Linked DNA regions of Diceros bicornis minor. The main gene of each other region encodes a partner of the protein of the gene in region 4 in a complex. Links are inferred from orthologs where the notes say so. Each region holds a gene or a part of one and is shown on either strand. Other genes may lie near its edges. The genes, in order: ARRDC3, GJA1, GRB10 and NEDD4.

Region 1 (7,073 bases), on a different chromosome or scaffold from region 4:
TTAAATGTCTATTAAATATGAAGAATGTAATAAACATACCATATAATTAACTATCAAATAAAAAAATCTCATTCATTTTGCTAATATTATAGCAAATCTTACCTCCAATCTCCACACCAATGTCAAATTTGTTGCATTCTGAAGATATTAAAGAGTTAAGTCAGAGTTACAAAATCTTGAAATACAAAATTAAGACAAAAAACAAACACACAGGAGCCAGGCCCATGGCATAGCGGTTAAGCGCACACGCTCCGCTGCTGGCAGCCCAGGCTTGGATCCCCGGGCGCGCACCAATGCACTGCTTGTCAGGCCATGCTGTGGCGGCGTCCCATATAAAGTGGAGGAAGATGGGCAGAGATGTTAGCCCAGGGCCAGTCTTCCTCAGCAAAAAAGAGGAGGATTGCCATGGATATTAGCTCAGGGCTGATCTTCCTCACCAAAAGAAACACAAACAAAACCTCCCTTAGTTCTACAGCACTGAAGCCTGTCAGGTGTTAGTTAAAAGAAGAATTAAGCAAGGATTTCATATTTTTCTTTAAGAAACAGATTCTGACTGCTGGTATGGTTTGTCTTACAACCACACACCAAAACTTGCAGTTGAGATGGCTTGCTCTGTTTTATAACAATATTGAGCATTTCGATATGAGGAAAAACTCCAGACTTGGCAGGAATGTTGTTGTTTGTTTTTGTGTGTGTGTGTGTGTGAGGAAGGTCAGCCCTGAGCTAATATTCACGCCAATCCTCCTCTTTTTTTGCTGAGAAAGACAGGCCCTGGGCTAACATCTGTGCCCACCTTCCTCCACTTTACATGGGACGCCGCCACAGCATGGCGGGAGAAGCGGTGCATAGGTGCACTCCCAGGATCCGGACCCGGGCCGCCAGCAGCGGAGCCCGTGCACTTAACCGCTACGCCGCGGGGCCAGGCCCCAGAAATTTTGACATATCACCTCAATATTAAATATCTTGATAGCGATTATCATTTTTCAGTTTTTGACAGAGTTCTTGAGATTGAGTTTAAACCTTTATACAGCAAGCTGGAACAGCCATTGAATTTAAAATCCAAGAAACAAATACCATAAAAAGAGATTCCTATTAAAGCCTTGAAGAAGATATAAAAAGGGGGAGGGGAAGCTGGTTACTCTGTCTAGTTGGAATTTTATTCAGTTGCGCCCACTAAATCCAGTGGAGGGCTTAGAAGAAGGGAGAGGAGATAACAGCAGTGGGATGATGTTCTGGGCACAGAAAGCAGCATGTAACTGCACATTGGCAACAGTGAGACAAGCTAACAAAGGGGACAGAAGATGTACTTGACAGGAGCATAGAGAGTTAGCAGACGAGGAGGAGGAGACGGCATACGAAATGTAGGCTGGGGTGCAGGAGGAGAGAGCATTGCTGCTAAAGATGAATATTTAAATTTAATGCAAAACACAATAAGGGCCAGTGAAGCAAGTCCGGAAGCCCTGGATAACAGCTACCCTACGGCGTTTCAAGCTGTCTCAAGGGTGTATTTAGACAGGGAGTCTTGAAAAGGGGAGGTTATAAAAGTTGAGAGAAAACATTCAAAATTTAGTCGAAAGGTTTTTTTTTTCTTTTAGAAATAAAAACATAAACGTGGCTTTAGAGCCGCCAGTTTTTTGCTTGTTGTTTGTTTCTGGTGTTTTCATAGTTGGAATAAATAGGAGGAGGAAAACAAAATGAAGCAAGTAAACTCAAGTTTAGACTATTTAGAAATAGTCATGTGACCACAGCCAGAGAGAAGAAATGTGATAATTAGGGTGAGTAGGATCTTAAGCAAAAATGATAGGGATAAGAATTTCTTGGCAACTTGTCAGTTACTGAAGTGTTTAGGAAGACACAGTAAAAGGACAATAAAGAGAAACAGCAAAATAAATAATACAGACAATCATTTATAATATCCTAAAAACTTCAAACAGAAGGAATAATGTAATATAGTGACAGGAATTAAGCATTTCATGTGCTACAACAGTTTTCTAAACCACAAGTAAATATGTTAGGGTTCTTTTTGGTTAAATGCAATTCTAGTTTATTTAAATAACTGATTCTTATTTTTTCAGAAATAAGTTATATTCCAACTGGAGAAATTTTACAAACATTCTAAAGAATTAAGCCATTGTTCACCAGCCTTTAATAATTTAAAACAAATTTAGTAATGAAGGCCTCACTGGGCACTGCACTTTTAAATCTATTCCTTACCCAATGTTATTTCAATGCTTAATAAATATCATTCCACCTTAACGCTGAGAAGCTGACATTTTAGCAAATTCACCACTTCTACCACTAGGTGGCGAAAAAACCCAAGTAGTATCTGTGATCAAAGCTAGTACAAGATCCCAAGTACTTGAATAACTAGAATTTCCACCAGGTGTCAACCAAGAGGGGAAAAAAAAAAAGACTATTTTTTCCCACTCAAATACACAATTCATAGTTTCAAGCATAACCATCTAAACTCTGAGTTAAATGGCCTGCCCATTAACTGTACAAATAGTTTGCACACTTATACTCCATATGTTACGCTGTTGAGTCCAAGATACTGTCTTGTCAACTAAAAGCCAACTAAATAAAATTTAGTTTCTTCCCCGGCCCCCAAAAAACAGCAAGACCAATGAGTTCAGTTTATTGTGAATCATAGGTTCAACCTATCCAAATATACTGCACAAAAGAAACCAAAATGTGTTAGACATGGACAGCCAAAAATCTTCCAAAGTGTATTTGGTTATGTTTATATAGTTCCAGATGCATATTTTTTTGTTTCTATATTTCTCTCTTATAAGCAGCTTTGTTGATCGCAAAAAATCTAGGTAAATTTATGCTACTAGGCCTTGAATCCCAGTCTGATATTTTCTGAAAGCATTGCCATTTGTTACCAAAACGGTCACAATAGAGACAAATGTACCTGTCTTTAAGATTATGAGAATTACTACGTGGAACAGCCCAAGGCTGAAAATTAAAATTAAAGTTTTATAGAATTAAGCCCTATTTATATATCAAAGCATGCTTTTTAAAAACTATCTTATGCGCTTCACTAATGTCTAACAAAGATTTTTCGATCTTCTTGTAAACATTATGTCAGCTAAAGCACTACGTCACGCTGCCTTTTATAAGGTGGGACTTTTTTAGGGCAAAGTCTATTCTTAATCCTCTGGACACAGGAGTTGTAATCATGTCATACCCTGCAAATGGAGCTGTAGGTGGTGTCTTAAAAACAGGCTTTTTCTTCCTTCGAGGAAGTGGTCAAGCCTTTTTTCCCCCCTGGTGTCATCATGCAAACAACTTGGGTTATTTTTCGCTGCTATCTAAGAGATGGAAGAGAAAACAAAACCTACTGATTAAATTATACTTGCTTCTCTTCCTTGCTCCGTACAGTATTCTCTTGAAAGTTCCTTTGCCGTAGACTGAGTTCATTTCCACCCTGCCTACAAAATACTAGTTTAAAAAAAAAAAAAAAGAACCAAGCCAAGAATGCTCTTGTCTCGGAACATCATTTCTTGTCTGCTTTTTATTATCTTCTTGGGAAATTCGTTAGATTATGCTGAGCAACCGGCCGCTTGCCCAACCGGTTTCTCCCCTACCCCCATCTCTCTTCACACATCACTTTTTCTTCCTCCCATCCAGGCAGTGGGCAAAACCCTGCAGTGCCGGTAACGCACGCTTCGGGCCGCTCACCCCGCAGTGCATCCCGACTTGGCTTTGCGAACAGCTCCCCACTCAGCCCTTCTCCCCCAGGGCCCCCTCTGCCATCATCTTTCCACACGAGTGTGCTCGGTAAGGGGCTCCAGGTAAGCACGTCGAGGGTTTACGGTAGCCTGCCTACCAATAGGAGCCCACAATGCAGAGAAGTCAGGTTCAGCCTCCCGGCAGCCCCAGAGCCGTCTTCCCCTAGCTGCACACCTACTGTACCCGCGAGCGAGCGAGCGAGGGAGCGAGCCCGGCGCGGGAGGGGGCGCGCAGGGAGGGCGGGCAGCAGCCGCGGCGCGTGCGCATGCGCACTGCGGTTGTTTTTCACAAAGCTGCTCTTAAAGTGAGCTGGCAGCCTCCAACCGCCCGTCTTTGTAAGGAGACCACTGAGACTAGCGGCAGCGCGGAGCAGCAGCCTCTCTGCTCCCCTGACTTTTTAAGAAATCTCAATGAACTATTTGTAAAGAATCACTGATCCTGCCTGCAAGCTTTTTGCACGGCAAAGACATCGATCAGTGTTAAGTGAAGATCACATTTTATATGTGATCTTGACTTTTTTTGTCTTACATTATATTTTTATAGATTTTGTTATAAACATGGTGCTGGGAAAGGTGAAGAGTTTGACAATAAGCTTTGACTGTCTCAATGACAGCAATGTCCCTGTGTATTCTAGTGGGGATACAGTCTCAGGAAGGGTGAATTTAGAAGTTACTGGGGAAATCAGAGTAAAATCGCTTAAAATTCATGCAAGAGGACATGCGAAAGTACGCTGGACCGAATCTCGAAACGCCGGCTCCAATACTGCCTATACACAGAATTACACTGAAGAAGTAGAATATTTCAACCATAAAGACATCTTAATTGGACACGAAAGAGGTAAGTTTTTATATTATTCAGAAATCATTAGACCTGTTTTCCTTGAGAGAGTGCCTTTTCAGTTTTTCTAAATTAATGTAATTCTACTTCCAGCATAACACAATTCTACTTCCAGCATAACACATAGATAGCAGTTTGATAAAGATTAGCAAAGTTGGAAGATTTGGATTCTCCTTGACATTCATCGTGTGTTAAGCTGTAATGCATGCAGGCATCTGCAAAGTGACTGCAAACTGCACTTAATTCAACTACCTCTATAGCCGGCTTGGTCTGTGCCATACGCACTTGCAATCCATTTGCACCTTACTTATGAATTCTGCTTAAATCCGATTCAGTAGTTTTACTAATATGGTTTCAAGTGAATTGCTAAAAGCTGTAGTCCAATATTAGATTTTTTCCTTATACTCTGCAACCTTAGATGTTAAAAACTAAGCTTCAGTGAAGAAATGGGATGACGTTAAGTGGGTTAATAGGTGTATTTCATTTTTAATATTGACACGCAAAAGTCTTTAAAGAATTGATCATTGTTCTTTGATATGAAGGGTTTCTGTGGCTTATTTTGACATATGGTATCAACACCCCACGTGTTTTTTCCCTATTCTTTCCAGTTTCTTTAGAAATTTACATCAAGCAGTCTCTATTTTAAAAGACAGTATCTATCATTAGGATATGTTTCAAATCAGTTTTAGAAGCCATTTAGGGTCAGTGATGTTCTTTTCCGAGCATCATGTCTAACTTTGGAACGTGCATTCAATGAAACCCTTGCCAGTCAAATGGAACTGAAAAAGTATTCGGCACCTTGGATTTGATTTTTTGCTTAAAAAAAGGAGATAAAGGGTTGTCAAAGGGAGAAGGGGTCCTGAGATTTTCAATCTATTGTTTAAATGGTTACATTGTGGAAATATAGAAGACTCTAAGCTTGTTTTTCTAAGTTTCCACCCTTTGTTAGAAGCGGTTCAATCCTGTTTCGGACCAGTTCTGGGGGGTGGTGAGGAGGGGCGCTTGTTCTGCTCTCAGCAGATTGGTTACACGCGTCAGGTGGTGGCGATGACTTAATTCCTAACCCAAGAAGAATATAATGTTAAAACTGGTTATGTAATTTTGTGCTTCTCCTTTTTAATGCAGTATTCAGTTTAAATGTTGACGATTTTTCAGAGTAGAGCACATTTTACCTTATTTTTTATATTAAAAAATAGACCTCCATGAGGAAGTGCTAATTGAACTAAGGCAAGTGTAGAAAATGAAGGATGCTTTGAGTTACAGCATCAATGCGTTACTTTTTAAAATATTTAGATGAAATCAATTCTTTAGTTTGGTTTTCAGTTACATATAGGTAATTTGCATCCTGAAAATAATTTCTGGTTAATCTCACCAAGCGGTAACACCGATAAGAACTGTAAATGCCCAATGACAGTCCTGGTGTTTGTTGAAAAGCAGACACATGAGTTTGTGTTTGACCATTTCTGGACATTGCAGCTTTTGATAAAATGGTTGAGGAGAAACAAAGGTTTCTAAGGAGTTGAGGCTTGCAGTGGGGTAAAAGTAGAATAACGACTAATAGGCACAAACACAATTTCATTAGTTTCTCCGTGATTTCATGGTAAAGAAAACTCCGTGCCCCACACCCTACGAGGTGCCCCGCAACCCCTGCAAAGCGTGGACGAGCTCTTAGACTGGAATAGTTTCAATGACTTAAAACTGGGACCTCTCAAACTAGCCTGGTTCCCGAGACCCCGCCCCGGGCACGGCGATAGGCGGAGCCGGGTTTGTTAGCCTGTTGCTAAGGCGATGCCAGGCTCTGATTGGATTGGGCGCGGGCGGGTGGGGAGAGTGGGCTTGCGCCGGCTGGGGCGAGGCTTGGAACCGGCGTGCGCCGGTAAAGGTCCCTCCAGAGCTGCCTCCGCCGCCCGACTCGCGTCACTCCCCGGGCTTCGGGATGCGCCGGGGGCTCATGTCACAGAACGTTCTGTCGCCCCTCTTGGGGCCCCCGAAAGAAACAAGTTCAGGTTCCAACAGCATAGAGGGCAGAAGCTCCAGCAGGCCTTACAGGTGCCCAATGGCCCTGGTTGCAACTTGAGCTTGCAGTCCTATTCAGAGGGAACTTGGGTGGGCAGGGTTAGCAGGACCCCGTTCCTGTTCGGGTGGAAGGCGTCAGGTAGCTTCTGTGAACGCTTGTTTTCCTCTTAGCTGAAACAAAGCGTGTTTGCCGACCTATGTAGTCACCAGACGGGCTACCTTGATTTGACCTGCGGGGGGAGAGTGCAAAGGCTGCCACGAGGGGAAGGAAAAGTGGTATTAACACGGAGAGCAGGGTGGGGGCCTCTGCGAGTATCCCCTGCCCCCTCCCCATTGTTTCCTGGGGCTCTGCCCTCCCCCCTCACCGCCCCAGTTTCCCTCGCCGCAACTGGAAAGGTGTCAGGGTGGCCCGAGCCAGATAGAACCGGTCACCGGCTGGGGCGTGTAAAGCGGAAGCGCTGCGCCGCGGCGGCCCCGCCCCCAGT
Region 2 (7,517 bases), on a different chromosome or scaffold from region 4:
CACTCTTCAAACAAGGAGAGAATCTTGAAGGGAAGTCAGAACAGGAAAGGCGGAGTACTCGGTATTAATCACTGCTGACTTGCCTATCATTCCTTTCCCTCGGGTAACAGATAGAAAGGCTCTGAGGCTCATACCAAGTTACACCTCTGGATATTATAAAAGAAACGAAGGAATGCACTGTATCGGGAGTTTTCCATCACAGGAATTGGAAACATCTAAGAAACAAAACAATTCTGGATATCTGAAAACACACCCTTGTAGATGCTTGCTAACAGAGAATCTTGGGAACCATGTTCCCCGGGGAGGGTCGGTAATGTAGCTAATGTAGGAATCCCTTTGCAAAGGGTGAGGAACTGAGCGGATGGGGGAGCTGTGTGATAAACTATAAAAGGTATTAGAAAACTGTGGAACAATTTAAACAGCAAAGAAAGTAGGAGCAAAGCACCACCACTGCATTTTCCAGGCAAAGGACAGGCGACAACTCTAGCCTGATTTAGGGAAGTACAAAGCATCACACATCGGGGGAACACTTTCCAGCAGTACAGAATTCAACACATCGCCAAGACAGAACGTACTTCCTGCCCTTTGTATAGCTTTCAGTCAATTGGGCCTACCTAGAAAAATGAATTACTCTTCCCCAGAGGTGATTTCTATCTAACTGGTTTATTTTATTCTTGGGAATGGAGTCAGTTTAATGAGATCTTCTCTGCATTACTACAGGATTTATTTTCAGCAATCTTTGTACCAAGCTAAAAATTAGGCTTCTTAAAAAACATCTCATATGCCACGGGGCACTTTTGACTGAGTTCAAGCGGGCTCAATTTTCCAAGGGTGAGATTAAGCATCTTCTCATTACTAACTTGGTTAGGCAAGCAAGAGAAATTAAACCCCCCTCCAAATAAAGCCATGTCTATTTTCCCCGCAGTTTATAGCTCTCACCCCCCACTTGCTCTTGTAGAGAGAAACACGGGCACCCTTAGGGTGAGGATGAGGATGTTCAGGGAGCGCTTCTGATAAGCTTTATCAGAGATGTCCTGTAAACAGCTGGACGGCTGAGGGCAGTGTGGGAGACCCCCTGCTCGGAACTGACTGAGTTTCGGAATCCTGTACTCACTTGCCTTAGGCCACGTCATTAGCCTCATTCCCGGGCTTCCCCCGCCCTCCCCTCCGCCCCCATTCTTGGGAAGTTTCAAGAACTTCCAGGAGAGTTACTGGTGCCGGTTAGGTAAGCCCCGCGGTATTCAGGTTCCCTTACCAATGCTCATACGGTAGGATTCAACAAGTTTACGAAAAAGGAGGACACTGTGGATGGGGATGAGAGAGAAGGCAAGGGAAGGGAAATTAGATCGACACGTTTAATTCAATTAATCATTTGCTCCTCTTCTCCATTGGGCATGCAGTCTATCCCCCCCCGCCCCTCTCCCCCTCCCCTTCCTCTTCAGCGGCGGAACTCGGACCTGCGCTCGGTTGCACTTGGAAGGATTTGAGGGACCTCGCCAAACCTCTCCAAAGCCCGGCGGCTCGGGCGGCGCAGGAGCCGGGGGCGAGCGGGGCGGAGGCTAAGATGGCAGGAGGCGCCCCGCGCCGGCCCCCGTCGGGTCCCCCGCCTCCGCAACGCTTTCATTTTTATTTGCTTTTCAGCGTTCTCTGGTGCAACTCCTTCAAACTGCAGGGTCGCACCAGGAATTTAAACTCATTACTTTAGTCTGTGGAGTTAGACAGACTCCTTCCCGGGCACGAAAATGCATTTCTGGCTAACAGAATGTGTGTTACCCATAAGAGCAATTAAGAAATTCAACCGTTTTTCATGACAAATCAGCGTCATCTTTGCTTAGTGGCAGCACCAACTCAAAAAAGTTGCCCCAGAGCTCTGAAGTCTATTACAGGTTCGGACAGGAGGAAGGGCGTGGGGTAGGTTAGTTTCCTCCAAGGCACCGTTTAAGAAATTTCGTTTCATATTCTTTCCAGCAGCTCCTGTCTTAGGCGACGGTTTTGGAAATGCACCCTGGCATACACTCTTGTAAACGTCTGCTCTCCCCCTCTTATACTTTGTAAGTAACCATCACCCAATTCAAGGGATTTCATCTCCTGAATTGTCAACGTGGTCGAGTAAAAGGTGGCTCTCCTGAGGGTCTCAGATTTTTCCATAGTGGTTGCTTACACGAACTAACTATTTACTGTTGCTTTAAAAACTTCAATATTACAACTCTGATTTTTCTACTTTTTTGTTTACAGGGGAAAATTTTAGGAAGGGACCACGTGGAAGTCAAGTAACCCTAAGGGCTTAACAAAGCACTTAAGAAGTCAGCTTTGCAAGGCTGTGGAACATCAATCAAGATTTCCATATGAAAAAGCACAAAGCGTAGAATTCTATAGCAAGCACGCTAAGCAAATTTGCACTTTGATTTTGGTGATGTTGTCAGTCAAATCCGCATCCCAGGCCCCTGAGCTCCCTTCCCCCAACAAGTTACAAAGCGCCTAGACGATTACTGATTACAAAAAAAGTAAAAGTATACTCTAAAATGAAGAACCAAATACCCAGTAAACTAATGCTGTATTCCAATCAGAAAGGTCTGAATCTTATTTTACCTGTTGTTGCATTTTTCGTAGAAACATTTTAAGTCAAAAACGTAAATATCAAACGTTCACTTTTAACCTGAAAACTGCAGGAACACTTTCATCAGTCCATTTACAGCATCCTATCAAAGCTACACTGAACACATTCAAAAACTTTAGAAAAGTTTTACTTGTAATAAAAGAAACAGATAGGTAAAGTATTTCTTTTTTTTTTTTTTTTAACTTACTCTTTCTCTTAAAAGAAGTGAAGTAGGCTCGCCAAGTGATTCAGCTCCTTACAGGATGAAATACAATGAAAACGCAGGCTCAGGCTCTCAGACCTGGCTATTTAAAGTTTAAAAGTCTGCTGCTCTTTGGTACTTTCTTCCCTCCTTCCCCCTAATGAAAGAAAAGTGCTGATACCTCGTAAAAGCTTTTTTCTAACTTGGAGCACAGAGCTTTTAAAAGTTTCAAGCCAATGACTCAACAGGGGGAGGAGGAGCCAGAAGAAAGGGGAGGAGAGTGGAGAGGCGGCCGGTGAACACGGAGGGTGGAGGGAAACAGGCAGAGGACTAGCCAGGTCGAGATAAAGTTGTAGTTTAAATTTGCTGACGAGAGCAATGAAATAGCATTGGAGACGTGAATGCCACTACTTGTAGTTACTCTTTACAGATAACAATTACTGGTTTTATTAGTGCTTGTTTCATCAAAAGTCCAGGGATAATAAAAAGTTGTATATTTTATAATGTTACAACCTTTTCCCAAGTAAAAAAAATATGTATTTTACAGTAAATAAAAGTGATGAAAAGAGTATAGCCAGTGCAAACTTGATTCATATTGGCCGAGGTGTGTGAAGTTGAAGGTGGGTGTGAGTGAGTTATTTGATGATCTAATTCTTTGCCTTTTAATTTATGTAGGGACAAGTGACAAAAGAAATGGTGGGGATGAGAGAGAGACATTTCAAAAACGCCCATCCCAGATCCACCTTCCAACACCTTGACTGCTTTGAATTTTTACTCTTTCTTCGTTTAGCAAAAACTGTATTTGTATTTATAACTGTATAATATATAATACATTTTGACTGTGAAATCTTCATAATTTGACATCTACCAGATCTCCAGGGAACTGAAAATTTACAATATTTCAGCCCCATTCATACTATTGCACTAAAAACAAAGTCTTCTTTTAGTGAAATGTCAGAATATTTTTTGTGAAATACTCATATGTTAAATCGGCATTAAGTGGGTACCAAACTATCGACCCTCTTTGAGACCATCTCCTTCTCTAAAATCCACTGGAGAATTTTCTGCCCAGTGACAGTAGAGCTGTGCATATAATTTTTATGCTCTTTTCCAACCGCTTCCCTGGTCATCCCTCTTCAGCACTCTGCATTAGGGTTTGCAATAGCCTCAGTCCTGTGGCCTCATTCTTAGGGTGGGTATCTCCTTTGAGTACTCCCCAGACGCCGTACCAGGAGGCTGTGATAGGCGAATGCCCCATAAACAGGCTTCAGTGTGGCTCCTGAAGTTGGATGGGGAAATGTCTTGGCCATTATTCTCTGGAAAAAGTGCAAACTCATCCAGCCTTATTTCTTACTCTTTTCTCACTGATACAAATATCAGAAAAAAGGAAGAAGGCAAATATTTCCTGATAGATACCTTTCCCTAAACATACTTTCATTAAAATAATTAATAAAACACCTTTTGAAATGTTATAGTTTTAAGACATAGTTTTGCTCTCTCATTTGCTGGCTATACTATTTCCAAGGGTACATATTTCTTTAAGTTAAAAAAGGGGAAAAAAAGATATAGAAATTGTAATCTGACTTTCAAGTCTTCAACCTCAGCAACCCATAAATATTGTTTTGGTCTTGTATTATAGTGTCCTTTCCTTCAAACAAGTCTATTGTTTTGTCCTAACTAAAAATTATTTCTTTAGATTCAGAATACATTCATGAAAATGTGATTTAATCTTTTTATTATAAGAAAATCTGCTTTTCTTCCCCCTTTTTTTAAAAAAAGTCTATGCTTCACTTAATTTACATAATTATTTCCTTTACTTTTGTAGATTTATTAAGTAGAGTTATTACTAAAATTATTCATTTTATGAAAAAGATTTCCTAAAATGCTAATTCACAATTAGTTGCATGAAAGAAAAGTTGCAACTGTCTTATAGCAGGGTTGTTAAAGCGAAAAATTGTGTTTATTTCCAATTATATTCTGTTCAGTCTATAAAAGGATATTGATGTCTAAGCATTCTGCTACCTTTTCTCTTTAGTCTATTGCCTATATGACCAATTGGAAATTGAACTAAAGAACTTCTAAAGTTACTCATGGATATCCCTTGAACCATTTTCTAAGCCATAAAGATTGACCATAGCATGAGCCACTAATTAAATAATTAGTTCTCTTAACATATGGGATGTATGATATCTTGTATTTCTAAAATGATTTTCCCATGATCCTTCATAAAAGATGAAGACATTCAGTGAGATCTTCTCCCTTTTGGAATAATGGCGCCAAAATGTGATCCTATGAGTAATAATGCTCAGGGAGAGCTGGGTTGCTGTGATGGCTTCCGTGTTGGAACATAACAGTTTTCTGTCATGGACACCTAATTGCTTCTCCAAATGGCTATCCTATTATTTTTCATACTCTAGCAGTGCTGGTGAGTTGCATTTTGACCAATAATTTGCTTTTATAAAGAATCCCACTTATCTGACCTTAGAAGCTGCTCTCCATTGTAGTGGTTTGCAAAATTTGTGGGATAGATTTTTTAAAATGTGTTTTTCTCATATTCTCAGAAATGCCAATCCGGTTTCATTAATATAAATACTTGACTTCCCAGAGCTGTATCTTCTCTGATTGCCAGGCCTTGTCTATGCAGAAGAAATGGATGCAGCCTAATTTGCTAGTCAGGCAACACTGCTCTTGAGGGATGAGGACAGCCATTTACAGCTCTTGCAGAGTTTCTTTAGGCACCACCATGAGCTGGGCCTCAGACTCTGTTACCCATGTTGCTCTGCTAGTTGAGAAATGCACATTATTGTCACAGTGGAAAGTAAACTCTTTTTCAGAATTGTGAGAAGTATTTCTTAACGTGACAACCAACTGCATTGTTTGATTTTTACCTTTGTTTCAAAATACCAATGTCTGGAATTTTAAGAGATAAATGGATTAATTTTTAAGGATTTTAGATGCCTATCTCACTCAAACCCTGGTGGATTACTCTCACTTCAATGAATAGCAACAACATTCAAAAATAATTGGTGGCTGTAAATTGGAGATCAGTAAGGAGAATATTGTAATGGTGGAGGAGTGAGTTATAAGGACCTGAAGTAGGATATAGGAGTAAGAAAGAATTATCAGAACTTGATGACAGATTGAATGGGAAGGACAAGGGATAGGAGGTGTGCAAACTGATTTTGGAGTTTTGACTGGGAAAAAGTTACTAATACCAAAAAGGATGTCTGGAGGAGGAACTGATTTACTAAAAGAAATTTAATGATTTCAATTTGGAATATTTTGGTATGAAGAACTGAAACATCTAGGGAAAGCTATCTGACTGGCAACTCAAGACACGGGCTGTGGAGTTCGGGTTAAAATTGTTGTAAAATTTGGGATTATATTCATAGAATTGGTCATTGAAACCACAGGTACAGATGAGATTACTAAGAGATAGGATGTAGGCAGTGTGCCAGAAAGAACATACACACAGCCTTCGTGGATTTCCTCATTTAATGCAGGCAAAGAAAAAGAATAAGAAAAGAGGCCTAGAATTGGGGAAAGGGAAGGGTATTTAAAATGGCCACAAGTAGGCTTATTTGTAAGGAAAATATCACCCGGGTACTGGGGGAGTCTTAACTTTGAAAAAAGGACAGGTCTTCCTTTAAAACAAGAGTGAATATAGACTATAAAGAAAAAAAATGTTTCGAGCTAGAGAGTGGAGGCATTAGGAAGCTAGAATTGAAGGTAACTTCTCAATTAAAGTAGGTGAAGTTATCAGCTGACTCTGAAGTAAGAGCAAGTTGATCAGAGTTGAAAAGTTTGCAGTACCTGTGGGGAACTCCAAAGGCAGCTGTAGAAGCATAAAAGGATTATCTAAGACTGGAAGGGTCTAGGATGAATTTGTATTGGAATAAGATAGCATTGTCTTATGGATTTCCTTCCATTAGTATTGGAATAATCCTTTCTATGCACCAAATTTCCATTTTATCTAATATTTATTGGACAGTAAGGAGAAAAAGTTAATTTGGACCTCAATATTATGCAAGTTCAGAAATATTCTACCTAAGTGGCCAGAAAATGTGTTCTTAACATGACTGTTTGTTGATCAACCATATTTCCTTTAGACTAGTGAAGATTTCACATCATATTACCGACTTGGGCTAGAATCTTTTCTCAATAGATGTATTTCTGGGATCTGACAACTGAAACTTGCTTCCCATTTACTTAGTATTTTATCATCTCTAAGAGATATTTAAGGATCAAAGTTTGTCTCAACCTGGGTAAAATCTGAACTCATTGTGTAGCTCACATCTGTCTGCAAGTGAATCTTACTGTGTGGCTACAGACAAAAACAGTATTTGTAAAGGGAAGAATTTTTTTTATTTTGTTTAATGGGAAAGAATCCCAGCCAGTGGATAAATATGTGTTTGGCTCCCCCTTCTGTACAGAGTGAAAATGAACATCATAGGAAGTAACTGGTAAACCATTTAATACTTTCACTTTAAAAACTTGCACCTTTTTTATTAAGCTTGGCTAATTTTTAGATCATTTGTGAATGTTTACATTCATTCACTCAGGAAATGTTTATTATGTCTCAGGAACTGTGCTAGTGAGGATTTTTAAGTTATGTGGTAAAGACAAAAACAGTATCAGGTTGAACTTCATTCAGCTTTAGGCTTTGAGTTTCCTTTAACTGAATTTTGAAAAAGCAAGCAAATAATGGTGGGAAAAGTA
Region 3 (7,476 bases), on a different chromosome or scaffold from region 4:
GCAGCCAGTGCTCGAATGGATCAGATCAGTTATACATCCATCAGTGCTCAGACCTTATACAAGGTTCCCAGATCCCCAAAGCACCCAAGCCTCTCCCATCAAATAGCTTGACTGTCTTCATTTCTTCTCTAATGTCCCACACTTCTACAGTTAAGCAAAAAAATAAAGACAGGTTTTAAAAAAATCTCCACTAGCAGAAAAGTTTTATTTAAATTTTGAACACATGACTGCTTACTTAAATGAAAGACAAGGCAAATATTTTCTCCTCACGAGCCTATGCAATTTCACATTGGTTTAAGACTAAGAAACAGACACGGGGATTATGCAGCAAACCGCAAATGCACAAGCTTCCTTCCCACGAAGCAGGACAGAAGTCCCCTGCAGTGGGCTCTGAGTTCTGACAGGCAGGCCAGCTAGCCCTAGACACAAGCTCAAATACATCCGACCATTGTGCAGGTTTTCCTTCCCCTGCAGTTAAGAGTTGGACAGAATTCAAGGAAATAAGTTCTTTAAATTATGCCACCTTCAAGACATTATGTTTGACCCGATATACCAACCCAGAGCCTCTACAGCTCTAAGATGAGGCTGAAGGCACAACAGATGTCTTTGTTAAGGAGTTTGGTTTCTATACATTGTAAAGTCTCAGACCAGCCACATCATCAAAATCAAAAGTTCTATGCTGGCTCTTGGATTCTGACTTCGCTCTTCCCTCCTGTTGGAGGCTGACTGGCCACAGAGACGGTCACTGGAACTGAGCCAGGGCTGCCTTGGCTTCCAGTCCTGGTGGCCACCACCATACAAAGCCCTGGACAAGTAGCCAGCATGAACCTGCCCAGCTCTGGGTTCCTGCTCCACAAATGAAAGACATTTTGCCCAGCCCAGTGATGCCCTAGAACTGGTACAGACCACGGATGATATGCAAGAGACGACTATAGTAGACAGCTTTTATTAAAACATTGTTTTAATTATAATAAACATAACTACCATATCCAACTCATGACTTTGTAGATATCAAAGTTTCCTCCCAAAATAAACGTGTATTTAAGTATAAAAAGTGAGTGGACAAAAGAAAATATTGATAATGGCCTGGTGAGATGGCAGAAATCTGGAAAGCTGGGAGCCACAGGAATGGTAACACAGCCTCCTAGCTCTCTGGGTGTGCGACTGGCAGGCGGATCTTCTCCGGGCCATTTCTCTGTCAGAGGCAGATGTACTTGTACAGAAGCAGAAAACACAGAACTTAAAAAATGCAAAGCTTAGGCTCTGGTAACAGCTCTGTCATGTGCTGGCCATGTCACCCTGGGCATGCCAATTAACTTCCTGAGCCTCGGTTTCCATATCTGTAAAATGGGGATTAGGGGGCTGTAGAGGATTAAAAGCAACCAGGCTTTGAAGGTGCCAGGTAAACTGTAAAATGCTACAGAAGTCTCAGTCACTACACTTCTCAGTTACACAGGCACACTTGCTGGGTGTGTAACTCTCTGTCCTCAAATTCTCTCCCTGTAATCTGGGGATTGGTCTGTGTGGCCCTTCTCTTTCAAGTGCTCCCAGTAAAACTCAAATATTATGTACAGGAATCCTAGACTTCTGATTTTTAACAGAAAAACCTAGTCATCTAGAATCACTCCAGGAAACACATTTGGTTTCAGGGTTTTTACTTAATAATATACTCCCCTAAAAGACACTACATCACCCTCATAAGTCAGAATTTCTTCTGCTATAGAAACCTAGATGCTACCTATTTTCCCTCCTGGAAAGAAAGAGGGGGAGCCTAGGTCAACTCTTGCGAAAAATTACCAGCTTTGTGCTGCAAATCCTAGTCAACGCCTGTTGCTGCGCTAACATGTGTTCTTAGTAAAACTGAGCGAAACGTTCAATAGAGCACCATTTATGAAACTCGGGGGCTCCAAACGGCTGAATCAGCATTTTCAGAAACAAAGTGTTCCGGGCCCGGCCTTGTAAACAGCAGCAACGAGAAAGTTGTGCAATAACGCATATTTACTCACGAGCGCTATTTGTTTTGGTCTTTTCTTTGCATCTCTTGAATGAAACTGGACACAACGTTTGCAAGAAAGCATTCTTTCCTATGCATCGTAAAGATCCAGGACCCTGTAAAGGTCACCTGTGGCTCCCCTACATCACCCAACGTCTCGGTTAAAGCAAACAACCAAAAGTTGGAGTTTCTTCCAATCCCCAAACAAGTCGAACACAATAAAAAGTAGAGAATACCCTAATTTCCATAACGCACATGCTCGTGGGCCATCGCCAGGCAGGCGTTTGGAGAGGCAATCAGCAAAAGCGGCGAGTTGCATCAGAAATTTCCTTCTGCGAACGGTACGGCTCTTATCACATTTCCACGGCTGGCGGGCGGCTAATCCGAGAGCCCTCAACTCGGGGTTAGGCCCCAGCGGCGGGTAACGGGGTCACTCACAAAACCAAAAAAAAAAAAAAGATCCCGAGGCTGGGCCGCGCTCCGGCTTGGGGGCGTCCGGCCCCGCCGCCCCGGCCGCGGGCGCACCGGGGGCGGCAGGGCGCCTGGCGCCCACCCTGCGGGCGGCCCGGGAGCGCGGCCTTGGCCCTGACGGCCGGGCGGCGCAGCCCCCACCCCAGCCCGGCCCGCGAGCGGCCGGCGTCGGCCACGATGGTTCAGGCAGGCGCCGCCCGGCTCCCCAGCTCCCGGGGTCGCGGACGCAGCGCGCAGAGCCCAGTCCGCTGCGCCCCGCTCCGCCGCGCCCGCAGCCCGTCCCCGCCTCGCGCGCCGCGGCCCCCGGCCCGGAGGCGACGCCCTTCCGCCCGCCGCGCCCCCGCGGCGCCCGGCGTCCCCGGCCCGGGCGGCCAGCGCGCAGACAATGCCGGCGCGGGACCGCCCGCCGCCCGCCGGCCCGGCCGCGCCGACCACAAAGTAACTTGCCGCCGCGCTCCCCGCCCAACTCCGTACCTGCCGCGGCGCCGCTCCCGGCCGCCTCCGCGAGGCCGCCGGCGCCCCTCGGCGCGGCCGGGGCGGGCGCGGGTCCCGCGGGGCGAGCGCGGCGCGCAGGGCGGTCCGGCCCCCGCGCGCCGCCGCCGAGGGCTGCGCGCAAACTTCGGGCCCCGCGCGGGTCTCCGCGGCCTCCGAGCGCCGAGCCCGCCGCCGGCACGCCGCTCTCGTCCCTTCTCGCCTCCTCCCGGCCTCCCCACCCCCGCGATGAGCTTTAAACTCGCCGGGCCCCGCCCGCCGCCGCCGCCTCCGCCGCCTCCGCCTCCTCCCCCGGCCGCTGTTCCTGCTCCTCCTCCCGCCGCCGCTGCCGCCGCCGGGATCGCTCGGCGGCCGCCAGCGCGGGCGGAGCCGCGGCCTGGGCACAGGGCGGGGCACCGGGCGCGGGCGCCTGACCCTCTGGGCGGCCGCTGCCCGGGCCGGCGCGGGAGACGGACAGCCCGGCGTGGGCCCCCAGACTGGTCGTCCTGCCTCCTGGGACCCCCGACACGAAACCCCGACAGCCCAGGCTCGGGCGCCCGCGAAAGACACATCGGACCTATCCCGAAAGGCAATTTGTAAGCGAATTCTTTGAAACTCAAAGTATTAACTCTGCTGTCCAAATCCTTTATCCTGGGCGTAAGACAAGGACAGACGGATGAGCTGCGGCTGCTGGGACTCTGTCGTGGGCTGGTGGTCCCGGCCCGGGAAAGGGAAACCTACAGTGTCCGCTCACAGCCAGCCCTGTCTGGGTCTCGCCTCTCAGAGCCTCAGTTTCCCTATCTGCATGTGAGCGCCGGAGTGCGGGTGAGGTGGGGAGGCCCTACCTATTCTTTCAATGCTGCCAAGCCTCAATGTCCTTATCTTTGAAAGGGACTAATAGGCCCACCTGAAGTGATGTCCTGGGGGGTAAATGAGGTCATACCTGTAACATAAAGTGACTGGCACGAAGGAACCCCATTGTCATTAATATGATTATTAATGTCTCTAGCGAATCAAAATTATAATACAAATAATTATGTCTTTTCCTGGGTCTTGATGTTATAAAAGCAGCTACAATAATAACTAACCTTTATTAAGCACACATTTTGTGCCAAACATTCATTAATCCTCTTATGTAACCCCACTCTGGCCTCTGAGGTTGTTACTGGGAGATGCCCACTGTACAGACTAGGAAACCGAATCTCCCAGAGGTGAAATAACTTGCCTAAGGTCAAGTAGCTGGTAAGCGCAGAGTAAGGATTGTGCCAGAGCCCTTTATGGCACTTTTTATAGCTCCTGCTTTTTCCACCTTTGGCTGATGTATCGATGAAAGGTCATCCTTTCCTGTAACTGACATAGGCCTCCCGAAAATGTCTACTCATTGGTCCAAGCTCCGAAACCCATGGGATGAGAATCTAGAGAGAATGATGTGAAGGAGCTTAGATTCCTGGGAGAATGGAACATAAGGACTCCCGTTGTAGACAAAGGATCAAGAGAAAATTAAAGAAGAGAAAACTCGATTTTGGCCATCTTCTCACAAGTGTATAAGCTTTGACCCTTACAGCTTTGCTGAAGGCTCCGGTCAGCAAGGAATGCCTGCACCAGCCAGGAAGCCTGACAGGCAGAGGGCTTTTATAGATGTCTGAGAAGCATCGATAGACGTAGACATACTTTTTCCTAAATCATTTGTAGGTAAGTTCCATACTCTGTAGCCACTTATCCCTATATACTTTGTTATGTCTTTCCTAAGAGTAGGGATATTATCTTACGTAACCACAGTACAGTTACCAAATTCATAAATTTATATTGATAAAATACGTGTGTCTGATCTAGGTTCATATTCCCGTTTATCAGTTGATCTGATAGTGCGCTTTATAGTATTCCTTTCTCCTCCATCACAAGATCCAGGCCGGGTCGGGTATTGCATTGAGCTGTCTCAAAATGTGTGGGCTTTCAAACGTTACTATTCACTGGGAAGGGATCAAAATAAATGTCCTCAAGTGTTTTCATGCTGACATCGATGCCCAGAATTCCTAGGATGGGCCCTCATTCCCCACATTTCCCGGCTCTGTGTAGACATCCATGAATGCCTCTCCCTTCTGGGCAGGGCCTGCTCAGTACCACTTTATGGTACAAGTTCATGAACTTTTCACTCTTGTGGCTGTAAAGCTGCAGCTGTCCTCTGTGCAGTGATCCTGGCCGAGCCAATCCTGTGGGCAGATTGCACCTTAGTGACTTCCCCTGCTGCAAATTCCAAATGCCCACTGGCCACGTGCTCCCTCTCAGAAGGATGGAAGCCAGGGTGAAATACAGCCGTGCAGTATATAAATTACCCCGGAGAACCCAGCCTACAGGGGCAGGGCTGTGTGGCTTTGTGTTCAAGAGCTTCACAAGGGGAATGTACTGCTGCAACTAAGTGTCAGGACAGGACACGGGATGTCACATTAGTGAGGAATTGATTATCCAACCATGTACTAGAAGGTTCCTTCAGCTGAAAGTAGAGAATCTGATAGACTCGAATTATACTTAGTAACAAATTGATTAATATCTGCCTCCTCTGCTGACTGTAAGCATGTGACAAGAGTAACCACATGCTGTTCGCTGGTGTTATCCCAGCAGGGGGAGTGCCTGGCACTGAGCGGGCACTAGTGCAATAAGTCACCACTAGGAAAGAGTATCATGCAAATGAATTTTTCAGTTGAGCAAATGAAAGGAGTAAATGAATGATACGCCCTGGGACTCGGGCACCATCTCAAACATTGCCAGCAGCCTTGGCAAAGGAAAAGAGAACAAGACACAGCACCCTGGCAGTGAAATGCTCCAACCAGAAGTGGCCCTCACGTCTGCTCCCATGGGGTGAGGGCACTGGGTTGGAGGGTATGCATGTACCTGGCAGGCAGAGCTGGAAACCAGTGGTCAACAGCACTAAGGACTACCCACTCACCCACTCACCATGGGGCAGAGATTCATCTGCAATCACAATACAATCATAATGCCTGCCTCAGAACACCTGGGCTCACCCCCACCCCCGTCCTATAGAGTTCACCCCTCAGAGTCAATCTGCATTTTTAACAGCCTTCCCCAGGATCCACATGCGCGCCAGTATTCCAAACATGGAGATTCTTTGAATCCTCTAAACAAGAGACATACAGTACCCCCACCCCCCAGTATAGAGGTGGGAGCCTGGCATTCAGGGAAGGCTTCCCAGTGGTGGCAATGCCCCAGTGGAGTCCTAGACCATCCAAGATGGTAGGTTCTGCAAAGAGGACCTAAAAAAAGAGGACTTCCAGGTCTAGGGAAAGGCCTCGCCAACGCCAAGAAAGAATTTTCAAGTAGTTGCATTTCATCATAGAATGCTGGGCCTGGGGCTGGAGGACATGGGGCATCAGGAGACTTGAGAGGAGATCAGGCCACTTGTTGTGGGCAGGCGATTCTACTTTATCCCAGTGGTGATGGGAGGGTATGAGATCTGCCCATCATGGGGCCTACTGGCACAATTTCGTCAGAAGTGGAACTGTCCCCAGACCCCAACAATCCTGCCTTTCCTTGGTCTCTGCATAGCACTTGATTTGCTGGGGGATGACACTTGACCCAAAGATTGCCACTCCTTAGGTTGGCCAGTGGGTGGAAGGATGGCAGTCAGATGCCTGCACCTGGAATTCTAAACTGGAGGTGCTGGAGGGGCCTGGACAATGGAGATCAGGGGAGGAGCAGCTGAGCTGGGCTCAGTATATGAAGGGAGGTGCAAAAGTAAGCACCAAATAGATGCCCTCTGTCTCCTGTCTCTGTTTGCCTGGGCTCCTGCAACTCTTATTTTAGATTTGCATTTTCCTTATGATGTCTTAATATAAACTCTCCTTTTCCCGAGGTAGCTTGAATCAAAATGACTCTACAACCAAAACAGGTGCTAACTGAACGATGTTTCTTAAGTCTGGTTTATTGAGATTTAATTTGCCTTCAGGAAGAACCACACTTTGTGGAGTTGAAGGTGTACAGCTGTGTCACCACAAGGTCTGAAGATAGAGAACAGTTCATCACCCCAAAAGGTTCTCTCTGGCCCCCTTGCAATCAGTCACCCTGCCCACTCCCTGTAGCCACTGATCTGCTTTCTGTCCTCATAGATTTGCCTTTTCAAGATTGTCATATGAACACAGTCACACAGTATGGAGTCTTTTGTGTCTGGCTTTTCTCACTTAGCATAATGCATTTGAAGTTCATCTTGTTCCATGAATCAGTAGCTTGCTTCTTTTTTTTTTTTAATTTTTTTTTATTTATTTTTTTCCCCCAAAGCCCCCGTAGATAGTTGTATGTCACAGCTGCACAACCTTCTAGTTGCTGTATGTAGGACGCGGCCTCAGCATGGCGGGAGAAGCCGTGTGTCGATGTGCGCCCGGGATCCGAACCCCGGCCGCCAGCATCGGAGCGCGCACACTTAACCGCTAAGCCACGGGGCCGGGCCAATAGCTTGCTTCTTTTTAATGCTGATTACTATTCCATGTATAGATGTACCTCAATTTGTTCATCCATTCACTGGCTGATGG
Region 4 (7,949 bases):
CAAATGCCATAATATCATAATTTATGTGTTTATCATCCTCAATAGATAATAGTGTTGTTTCCCGCTTTTTGCTATTACCAGTTGATAAACATTCTTGCTGTGTTTCCTGACGTACGTGTTATGAGTGTATCTCTAAGATTCATATTTTAAGGTTGAATTGCTGGGTCATGGTATTACCAGTATTACTGGCATTACATGGTATTTTTCCTATTGTTACTGACACTGATGTGAATTTCTCCCTGATTCTTGGGTGCATCGTTGGTAAACTATTTTGTTTGAGTTATTCGCATGTTGTTCAAAAAGAAAGATAGCTCTTGTTTGTGCTTTCTACCCTGCTTAGTTGTCTAGTCTTTTTTGCCAGTAACTTTAGTATGGTGTGACTATTTCTTCAGTGCCAAAATTGATATTTGTCGTACACTGATTGGTCCGTTAACACTCCTTGAGGATTTACTATGTATAGCATACCAAACAGGGTGTCATATGTCAAAAGAAAAAAACATTGCCTGTGATATTGACAATGGGCTATTTCTAGAGTTATAACCGTGGTATAGAAAAATTTTTAAAACTTTTAAAGCTAAAAGCAAAAAGAAAATAATGCGTTGATCAGGATATTATAGATCCCTACCCCAAGGAGTCAGAAGTCTTATTGTAGTCCTGCCTATGATTTGATACATTGGCTTATAACCCTGGACAAATTATTCAATCCTTCTGAAAATATTTTCTTATGTTTAAAAAATAGGAGGCCCAGCCCAGTGGCATAGTGGTTAAGTTTGCATGCTCTGCTTCAGCAGCCTAGGGTTCACAGGTTCGGATCCCAGGCACGGACCTATGCACTGCTCGCCAAGCCATGCTGTGGCAGGCGTCCCACCTGTAAAATAGAGGAAGATGGGCACAGATGTTAGCTCAGGGCCAATCTTCCTCAGCAAAAAGAGGAGGATTGGCAACAGATGTTAGCTCTGGGTTAATCTTCCTCACCAAAAAAAAAAAAGGGATAATAATATTTGCTGATAAATGTATTGTGAGGATATAGCAAGATAACGGCTATCAAAGCACTCCAAAAATATTTCATCGTGATACAAATATAAAGCGTTATTTAACATTCATGGACTCATGCGTTTATGGCTTTCTGATACTGTATTTTTTGTGTTAACTGAGGTATGCTATTTAGGGTATCTGCTATGTTAGATACTTTCCTGTGCATTAGCACTATAGCTTTTCTCAAGAAGCTCACTTTACTAGCAAAAGGGAGCAAGAAATGATTAGAACAGGGCAGTGTGTGTCACTCTAATCCTCTGATTTGTTGCTAGTTCTAGCAGGTGATTGAAGTGTACAGATCACCTGAGATGTGATAGAAACTATAGCCATTGGTGGAGTAACAGGCTTGATTGTATAGCAATAAATGGCCTATGCCACTGTAAATGTCATTTTATCTTTATTCTCCTGTAGCATTCACAACTGAATTAAGAATGTCTCCTTTTCCTAGAAAATTCTCTTTGGAAATGTACAGTGAAGAGCACAGATATAATTTTAAGCAGAAGCAATTTCTAGTCATCTGGAAAACATTTGCAATGTAAGTGGTATTTGTTTCGAGAAAGAGTAGGCTTAAATTCCTTTTTTTCAGCCAATTTTAAGAACCTGAGAGTTAGAAACTATAGTAGTTTGGTTATGGTGATAGTGGTGGTAGTGGTGTTGATAGTGATGCTGTGCCTTTAAATGAGTTCTGCTCATTAATGCAAAAGTTAGTGCTTCTGTGTCACTACCTAAGAGCTGCACCTGCACACATCTAGCCTCTGAAGTTTGGGAGATGCCTGTATTCTTTATCCCGAGTGGAGATGCTATGCTTCTCAGGTTTAGTGGTTGTATTTGGGTTCTGGAGAGAAACAGAACCAATGGGATATACATATACACAGAGAGAGAGAGAGAGAGATTTATTTTAAGGCATTGCTTCACATGATTCTGGAAGCTAGTGAGTCTGAAATCTGTGAGGCAGAGCTGGCAGGTTGAAGATTCAGGTGAGAGTTGATGTTACAGTCTTGCGTCTGAAATCTGCAGGGCAGGCCAGCAAGCTGGAAACTCAGGCGGGGTTTCATTATTGTACTCTTGAGGCAGAGTTGCTTCTTTGGAAAACCTGTCTTTGCTCTTAAGGCCTTTATGTGAGTGGATGAGGCCTACCACATTATGGAGAGCAGTCTGCTTTACTCATAATTTACTGAATTAAGTGTTAATCACATCTAAAAAATAGCTTCATAGCAACATTTAGACTGGTGTTTGACCAAATAACTGGCAAAATAGCCTAGGCAAGTTGACACATAGAATTAATCATCACAGTGGACTTTGGCCTTCAAAGATCTAGTCAATGATTAGGGTTATCCAGAGCCTATCCATAGCATGTAGATAATCACATTATTTTCTGTGTAGATAATCAGTAACCAAACGTCTCAGAATGTGGGGTCCTGAGCTTCAATCTAATCCTAAGACATTATGCATTCATTCCTCCCACATAAGGGCTGCCAGCAGTCTCCAGCTCTTCTCCTCTTGAAGTTAGGGTTGATGTTCCTCTTTTGGCATCTTTTTGGCCAAGGGGCTACATTTTACCCCAGGTTCTACACATAACTGCTGTAATGGTGGTACAGATCCTGTGCAATCCCAGACCAGAGCCAGCAAAGCAAACTGCTCAGCCTCTAGAATTTAAACTCAGCCTGGAGTGCTAGGAAGTGCATATGATTCTTACCTCACTTTTCCTTGGCTGAAGCCCTCTTTGCAAATTTTTCAAGCATCATTCCTTCTGGTCCAGCTGCAATGTTTTTTGATTTTTCTTTAGAAGTGGTAGCTGGATCAACTTTAAAAAAATTCTGAAAGCGTTAGGAGGTCAGAGTAACTGCAGTGACCATCCATCCGTTTATCCAACTTCTGCTCTGCTGTTACCTAGTGCTCACTGTGTTGCCAGCATGAGCTCAGCAGGATCAGAAGAAATGTTTAGTTATGGTCCTCCTACTCTGGAAGCTTAAAATCTAGTTAGGGGACATGAAACTGACGCTTATAGAGGAGCTTCCCAAAGAGAAAACTTTTATCTGGCCAAATACCTGGGGTTCATTATTTTATGTTAACAACCTGAGGAGCTTTGCTTATTAACTGAAAGTTTTAGGCCACAGGCGTGAGCAGTTAGACTAGCTCATTGATTAGCCTCTTAGAAATGATCCATTCTTTGAGTTATCAGACCCCTAACTTAATTCAAGAAGGAAAGTTGAAGTCATTTGAAGGTAAAATGAAAAGATTAGGACTCTTCCTTCTATAAGGAAAAAGGATGATAAGGGAATATTTACTGAAGTGTGTAAAATCATAAAAGAGAGAAATTATACAAAACCAAAATAACTAATAATTTTATTACTCAGTTTACAATTATACATTCAAAAACATACTACTATCATTCTAGTCGGAAATATAATTTAATAAATCCCATGTTTCTATTTGGCCATGTCTTAACTGATTAAAAATACTGTTTAGAAAATTGTGATTGAAAACAGATTTATCTTAAGGAGTTTTTTTTTTTTTAAACAAAGTGCAAGTATATGTTTTACATATTTGCTTTTACTTAGGAAAAAAAAACTTACCTAGAAAAATACAACTTGGGTGTAGTACCATGTGGTGTAAACAACTGAACTATTTTACTTTACTTTCCTATGAATGAGCCAGTATATATTTATTACTGGAGTTCCAGCTATAAAATTCAGGTAAGGGGTTTAAATATACCCTAGAGTATTATTTAAAAATAAATTTGTTTCTTTCAAATAGAATGCCAACCTTGGTCCATGACATGTGGGGGAGAAATTAAAATATTAAACTTTTATTACCTAGTAAACTGAAAATAAAGTAAAGGTTAAATAAATACAAAGCAGAAAATATATATATACAAAATCACAACCTCTAAAAAGACAAACAGTCTACTGTTCTCTGCTGTGGGAGCTTTATCAACAGTAGTAGTAAGGAATTCCACCTCTAGGGCAGTGCTAGTACTCAAAAATGTAAACAAGTGTGTACTTTGTTTATATAAAGAAATACGCAGCATGGTTTTTATTTCTTTGTAGATATCAAACAGCTAAATGGATTGTTTCAAAGCACCAGTAGGGGCCAGCAAAGAGCTCCTAGAGTTTTTCAGAACAGAATTGGCATTGAGATATGTTTATTTGATGTGTTAAATCCTTTTTAGACTTCTTTACTTACCACAACACTCTTAAGTGAATGAATTGCAGAGACAGTGGAATAAAATATCTTGTGTGCTCAAACTACATTGGGGTATAGTTTTTCTGTCTAATCTGCATATATTTTTAATGGAATGTTTGCTTAGGCTGTTTTTTGGCAGAGTTGTGATAGTCAAAATATAAATGGCATCATTTAAAGACTGTACTACTTGGCTGGAAAAGGCCTTAAAATTACAGGAGAAAATGCCTGGTGACAGCTTCTCTTTAACTTTTTTTTCTCAGACGTGTGCTCGATTTTTGCAATTGTATTACTAGGCTAATTTTGTATTTCTATCCTTAAGCGTTCACTTTTTATAAGTAGTGTTTTGGAAGCTAAAATATTTATCTTTATCTATTTGATTTAATGCTAAAGTTTTAATTCACTCCAAAGTTTTGGTATTTCCAAATTTATACAACTATTTGAACTTACTCATTTAAAAAAAATTTAAGTCTATATTCCTTTCTACATTAACTAACTTGACTAGATTCCTAGTGTGGCTACTATTTGGAAATTCAATCCTTTATTTGATACTCAATTACATGGGGTTTCGTTCCTACCAACTTCCTGTAATTCTATCCCTATGGGTAAAAATATTAGTGGTCAAACTCAGCTGGAGAAAGTATAGGCACCGTGATTCACATGGTTAAATGTTCATTTAGTAGAGCTGGAGTGAAAAAATACTGTTTCAACTTGAAATGCTAGAAGATTGTTGTTCTTGTGTTACTCATTCATGCAAATTGGAGAAGGTATAATTGAAACAAGGTTGGCAGTGTTTGAGGCAGTGTGCTGCAGCTGAGCTCAGCTTAAAGGTCGCTGGAAATCAAGTGCTTTGTAAGTGAAGGCATTTTGACTACAAGCGATTCAAGACATTTTGGAAACGTCAGTCTCAGGAATGGGTCGTCTTTTTCTTTCTGTGATATCTGGTATCTAATGTTTTACTTAGGATAAAGACTACTACTTAAGAGCTCTTTTAGGCACCACAAATGATTTTTTCTTTCAGTGCAGTGCAGCTGCTTCTAGCCTGTCTACAGACAGAGATCTTTGTTATGACTTTTAGCCCTTAACATGTTTGGAAATGAGAACAAATGGCACAAAGCTTACGATTGCACTTTGCAGCCAGAAGAAGCAATACTTATCCTTTGTCAGAAACCTCCGGAGATGATTTGGATAGCAGTGTTCACATGTGCTTCAAAAGACCAACACGGATTTCAACGTCTAACGTTGTTCAAATGAAGCTGACTCCCAGACAGACTGCGCTAGCTCCGTTCTTAAAGGAGAACGTTAAGTCTCGGGAAAGATCATCTGTTCCTTCACCTGAAAATGTTAATAAAAAGAGCAGCTGTCTACAGATTTCACTACAGCCAACAAGGTACAGTGGATGTCTTCAGTCTAGCAATGTCTTAGCTGATGGCGATGATGCTTCATTTGCTTGTGTCTTGAAGGAAGGCATTTACAGCATTGCTGAGGTTGATAATGAACTGAATGCTGTGAATGATGGTAACCTTTTAGGCAGTTCTGCCATTTGCAGTGGTAGCCTTAGTAACTTTTCAGCCAGTGAGAATGGGTCTTACAGCAGCAACGGTAGTGATTATGGGTCATGCACGAGTATCACAAGTGGAGGTTCATACACCAACAGTATCCTCAGTGACAGCAGTGGTTATACTTTTACACCAACTGATGATACTTTTTTTGGTGGAAATTTATCTGCGGACAGCACCTCCAATAGAAGTGTGCCAAACAGGAATATTACTCCATGTGAAATTTTTTCAAGAAGTACAAGTACAGTTCCGTTTGTCCAAGATGACTTGGAGCATGGACTAGAGATTATGAAATTGCCAGTGAGCAGGAACTCGAAAATTCCACTAAAACGTTGTTCATCCTTAGTCATTTTTCCTAGGAGTCCTTCAAATACTCCACCAACTTCTCCAACAAATACAGGTACTCTTCCAAGCAAAGGATCCTATCAAACCTCACACCAGTTTATTATTTCTCCTAGTGAAGTTGCCCACAATGAAGATGGTACTAGTGCAAAGGGATTTCTTTCAACAGCTGTCAACGGACTTCGGTTATCTAAAACAATCTGTGCTCCTGGAGAAGGAAGAGACATACGACCACTTCACGGGAAGGGCTCATTACAAAAGAAAATGGTTGTTGCAAATAATAGTCCAAATCAGACTGTCTGTGAAAAGTCATCTGAAGGATATTCTTGTGTTTCAGTGCATTTCACCCAACAAAAAGAAACTACATTAGATTGTGAAACAGCAAATGGTGATTATAAACCAGAGATGTCAGAAATTAAGCTTAATTCTGGTTCAGAGTATATTAAGCTTATGCATAGAACATCTGCATGTTTACCATCCTCCCAAAATGTAGATTATCAAATAAATATCAATGGACAGTTGGAAAGACCAAATTCACAGATAAACAAAAACCATGCTATCTTACAAAGAAGTATTTCATTGGGAGGAACTTATCCAAATGTTTCCTGTTTATCCAGCCTTAAGCACAATTGTTGTAAGGGGGGACCATCTCAATTACTTATAAAGTTTGCATCTGGAAGTGAAGGTAAAGTTAATAATTTATCGAGAGACAGCAACAGAGATTTCGCAAATGAACTGTCTAATTCTTTGAAGCATTCTTGTGAGGTAAGTTTCCTCTGGTCTCAGTAAATATTAATTTATACTAGAATAGCTTTATGAAATATTTGTTTAAAATTTATTATAACTTAGTAGTTTTATATACTTTTCTGGTCCTTAGCTAGCAAATATTCTGTAGTCATGAATTTTATATTTGTAAATCTGAAGAATCCCCAATAGTTTTTCACTCTGTTATTTTACCAATATAGAAAATATGCATTAAAAAAAATAACTTTCCAAAGTGATTTAAGCCATAAAACATTTCTGTAGCATAAAAATAAGCTTTAAATAATAATTTATTTTGTAACATTTTACCTTGGTATATTTTTTAAGTGGCATAGTATTTTAATGTCTAACTCCATATTTATTCCTACTTTCAAAAATGCTCATTTGGTGTTCTCCCCTCCTTAATCATTGTGAAATAAAGTGAAATATAGGATGCTAATTTAAAATATTAAACAATAAAAAGCCCATATAAAAATGGGAAAAACTTGTTATAAATGAACATAGAGAAAGTGTTTCTCTAAAATACACGTATTTATTAGATTATTGATAAAAGCTATTATGCTGTATGTTTAAAGCAGAGGAAAAATAAATGGTATTTGCATTTGTATATACCTTAACCACAGGAATTTTGTTTCCACCCTATTTTTCTTTAGCTACCCGTTAGGACTGCTATCTAAAATGTAACTCACTCTTTGAAGGATATTGAATTCTAAATTTTATATTTTTCAATTTGGTTTCAATTGCTACGCATTTCCCCTAATTTTCTAGCTACCTTATAAATTTATTTTGATAATTTTGCTTTATTATATTAGTAACTTGACTCTAATGACTCTTAACTAGAACAGCTCTTTATGTAATTTGGCCTTTCCAGAGTATTTTAAGCGTTTTGAATTTAAATAGATTTTTTAAATTTCTGTATTTGGAAAGTCTTGCCAGATTTCAGGAAATTAAGAAATTTTTCTGACTAAACCAGTACTAAATGACAGTACCTAATAGTTTGGGGGAAAAAAACTTATCTGTGTTTATGTAACACTTAATATCTATATTAAAGATTTTTTTAAAACTTCT

The links.
Region 1: the proteins of NEDD4 (region 4) and ARRDC3 are in contact, whole or in part, in a crystal structure (PDB 4N7H), measured with the Homo sapiens proteins. The link is inferred for Diceros bicornis minor from reciprocal best matches to the Homo sapiens genes NEDD4 and ARRDC3. Residues at the interface, in NP_001271267.1 of Homo sapiens: Glu847, Arg849, Ala851, Pro852, Phe857, Ile859, Asp860, His861, Lys864, Thr865, Thr866, Thr867, Trp868; in NP_065852.1 of Homo sapiens: Glu344, Ala345, Pro346, Pro347, Ser348, Tyr349, Val352.
Region 2: the proteins of NEDD4 (region 4) and GJA1 are in contact, whole or in part, in an NMR structure (PDB 2N8T), measured with the Rattus norvegicus proteins. The link is inferred for Diceros bicornis minor from reciprocal best matches to the Homo sapiens genes NEDD4 and GJA1. Residues at the interface, in NP_037118.1 of Rattus norvegicus: Asp416, Asp417, Tyr422, Val424, Asp425, His426, Ser428, Lys429, Thr430, Thr431, Thr432, Trp433; in NP_036699.1 of Rattus norvegicus: Pro277, Leu278, Ser279, Pro280, Met281, Ser282, Pro283, Pro284, Gly285, Tyr286.
Region 3: the proteins of NEDD4 (region 4) and GRB10 are in contact, whole or in part, in a crystal structure (PDB 3M7F), measured with the Mus musculus proteins. The link is inferred for Diceros bicornis minor from reciprocal best matches to the Homo sapiens genes NEDD4 and GRB10. Residues at the interface, in NP_035020.2 of Mus musculus: Glu71, Leu72, Val79, Arg104, Ser112, Ile114, Leu115, Thr116, Ser117, Val118, Gln119, Glu134, Ile135, Leu136, Phe137, Arg138, Leu242, Pro243, His244, Pro245, Pro246; in NP_001357532.1 of Mus musculus: Ile514, Arg516, Gln518, His519, Phe521, His522, Gly523, Arg524, Asp548, Gln579, Phe581, Gly587, Asn588, Thr589, Lys590, Phe591, Ser592, Ile595, Gln596, Asp599, Phe600, Leu603, Asn604, Ile617, Arg618, Val619, Ala620.

Annotation. Positions count from the first base shown.
Region 1 is NC_080740.1:17,721,730-17,728,802, reverse strand, and holds the start of ARRDC3 (arrestin domain-containing protein 3), read left to right. Parts: upstream 1-4,061; 5' UTR 4,062-4,292; coding exon 4,293-4,572; intron 4,573-7,073. UniProt on the Homo sapiens protein: Adapter protein that plays a role in regulating cell-surface expression of adrenergic receptors and probably also other G protein-coupled receptors.
Region 2 is NC_080762.1:15,391,669-15,399,185, forward strand, and holds the start of GJA1 (gap junction alpha-1 protein), read right to left. Parts: upstream 3,007-7,517; 5' UTR 2,805-3,006; intron 1-2,804. UniProt on the Homo sapiens protein: Gap junction protein that acts as a regulator of bladder capacity. A gap junction consists of a cluster of closely packed pairs of transmembrane channels, the connexons, through which materials of low MW diffuse from one cell to a neighboring cell.
Region 3 is NC_080780.1:7,064,578-7,072,053, forward strand, and holds the start of GRB10 (growth factor receptor-bound protein 10), read right to left. Parts: upstream 3,003-7,476; 5' UTR 2,939-3,002; intron 2,456-2,938; exon of another isoform or gene 2,230-2,455; intron 1-2,229.
Region 4 is NC_080744.1:51,373,418-51,381,366, reverse strand, and holds the start of NEDD4 (E3 ubiquitin-protein ligase NEDD4), read left to right. Parts: upstream 1-4,948; 5' UTR 4,949-5,324; coding exon 5,325-6,884; intron 6,885-7,949. UniProt on the Homo sapiens protein: E3 ubiquitin-protein ligase which accepts ubiquitin from an E2 ubiquitin-conjugating enzyme in the form of a thioester and then directly transfers the ubiquitin to targeted substrates. Specifically ubiquitinates 'Lys-63' in target proteins.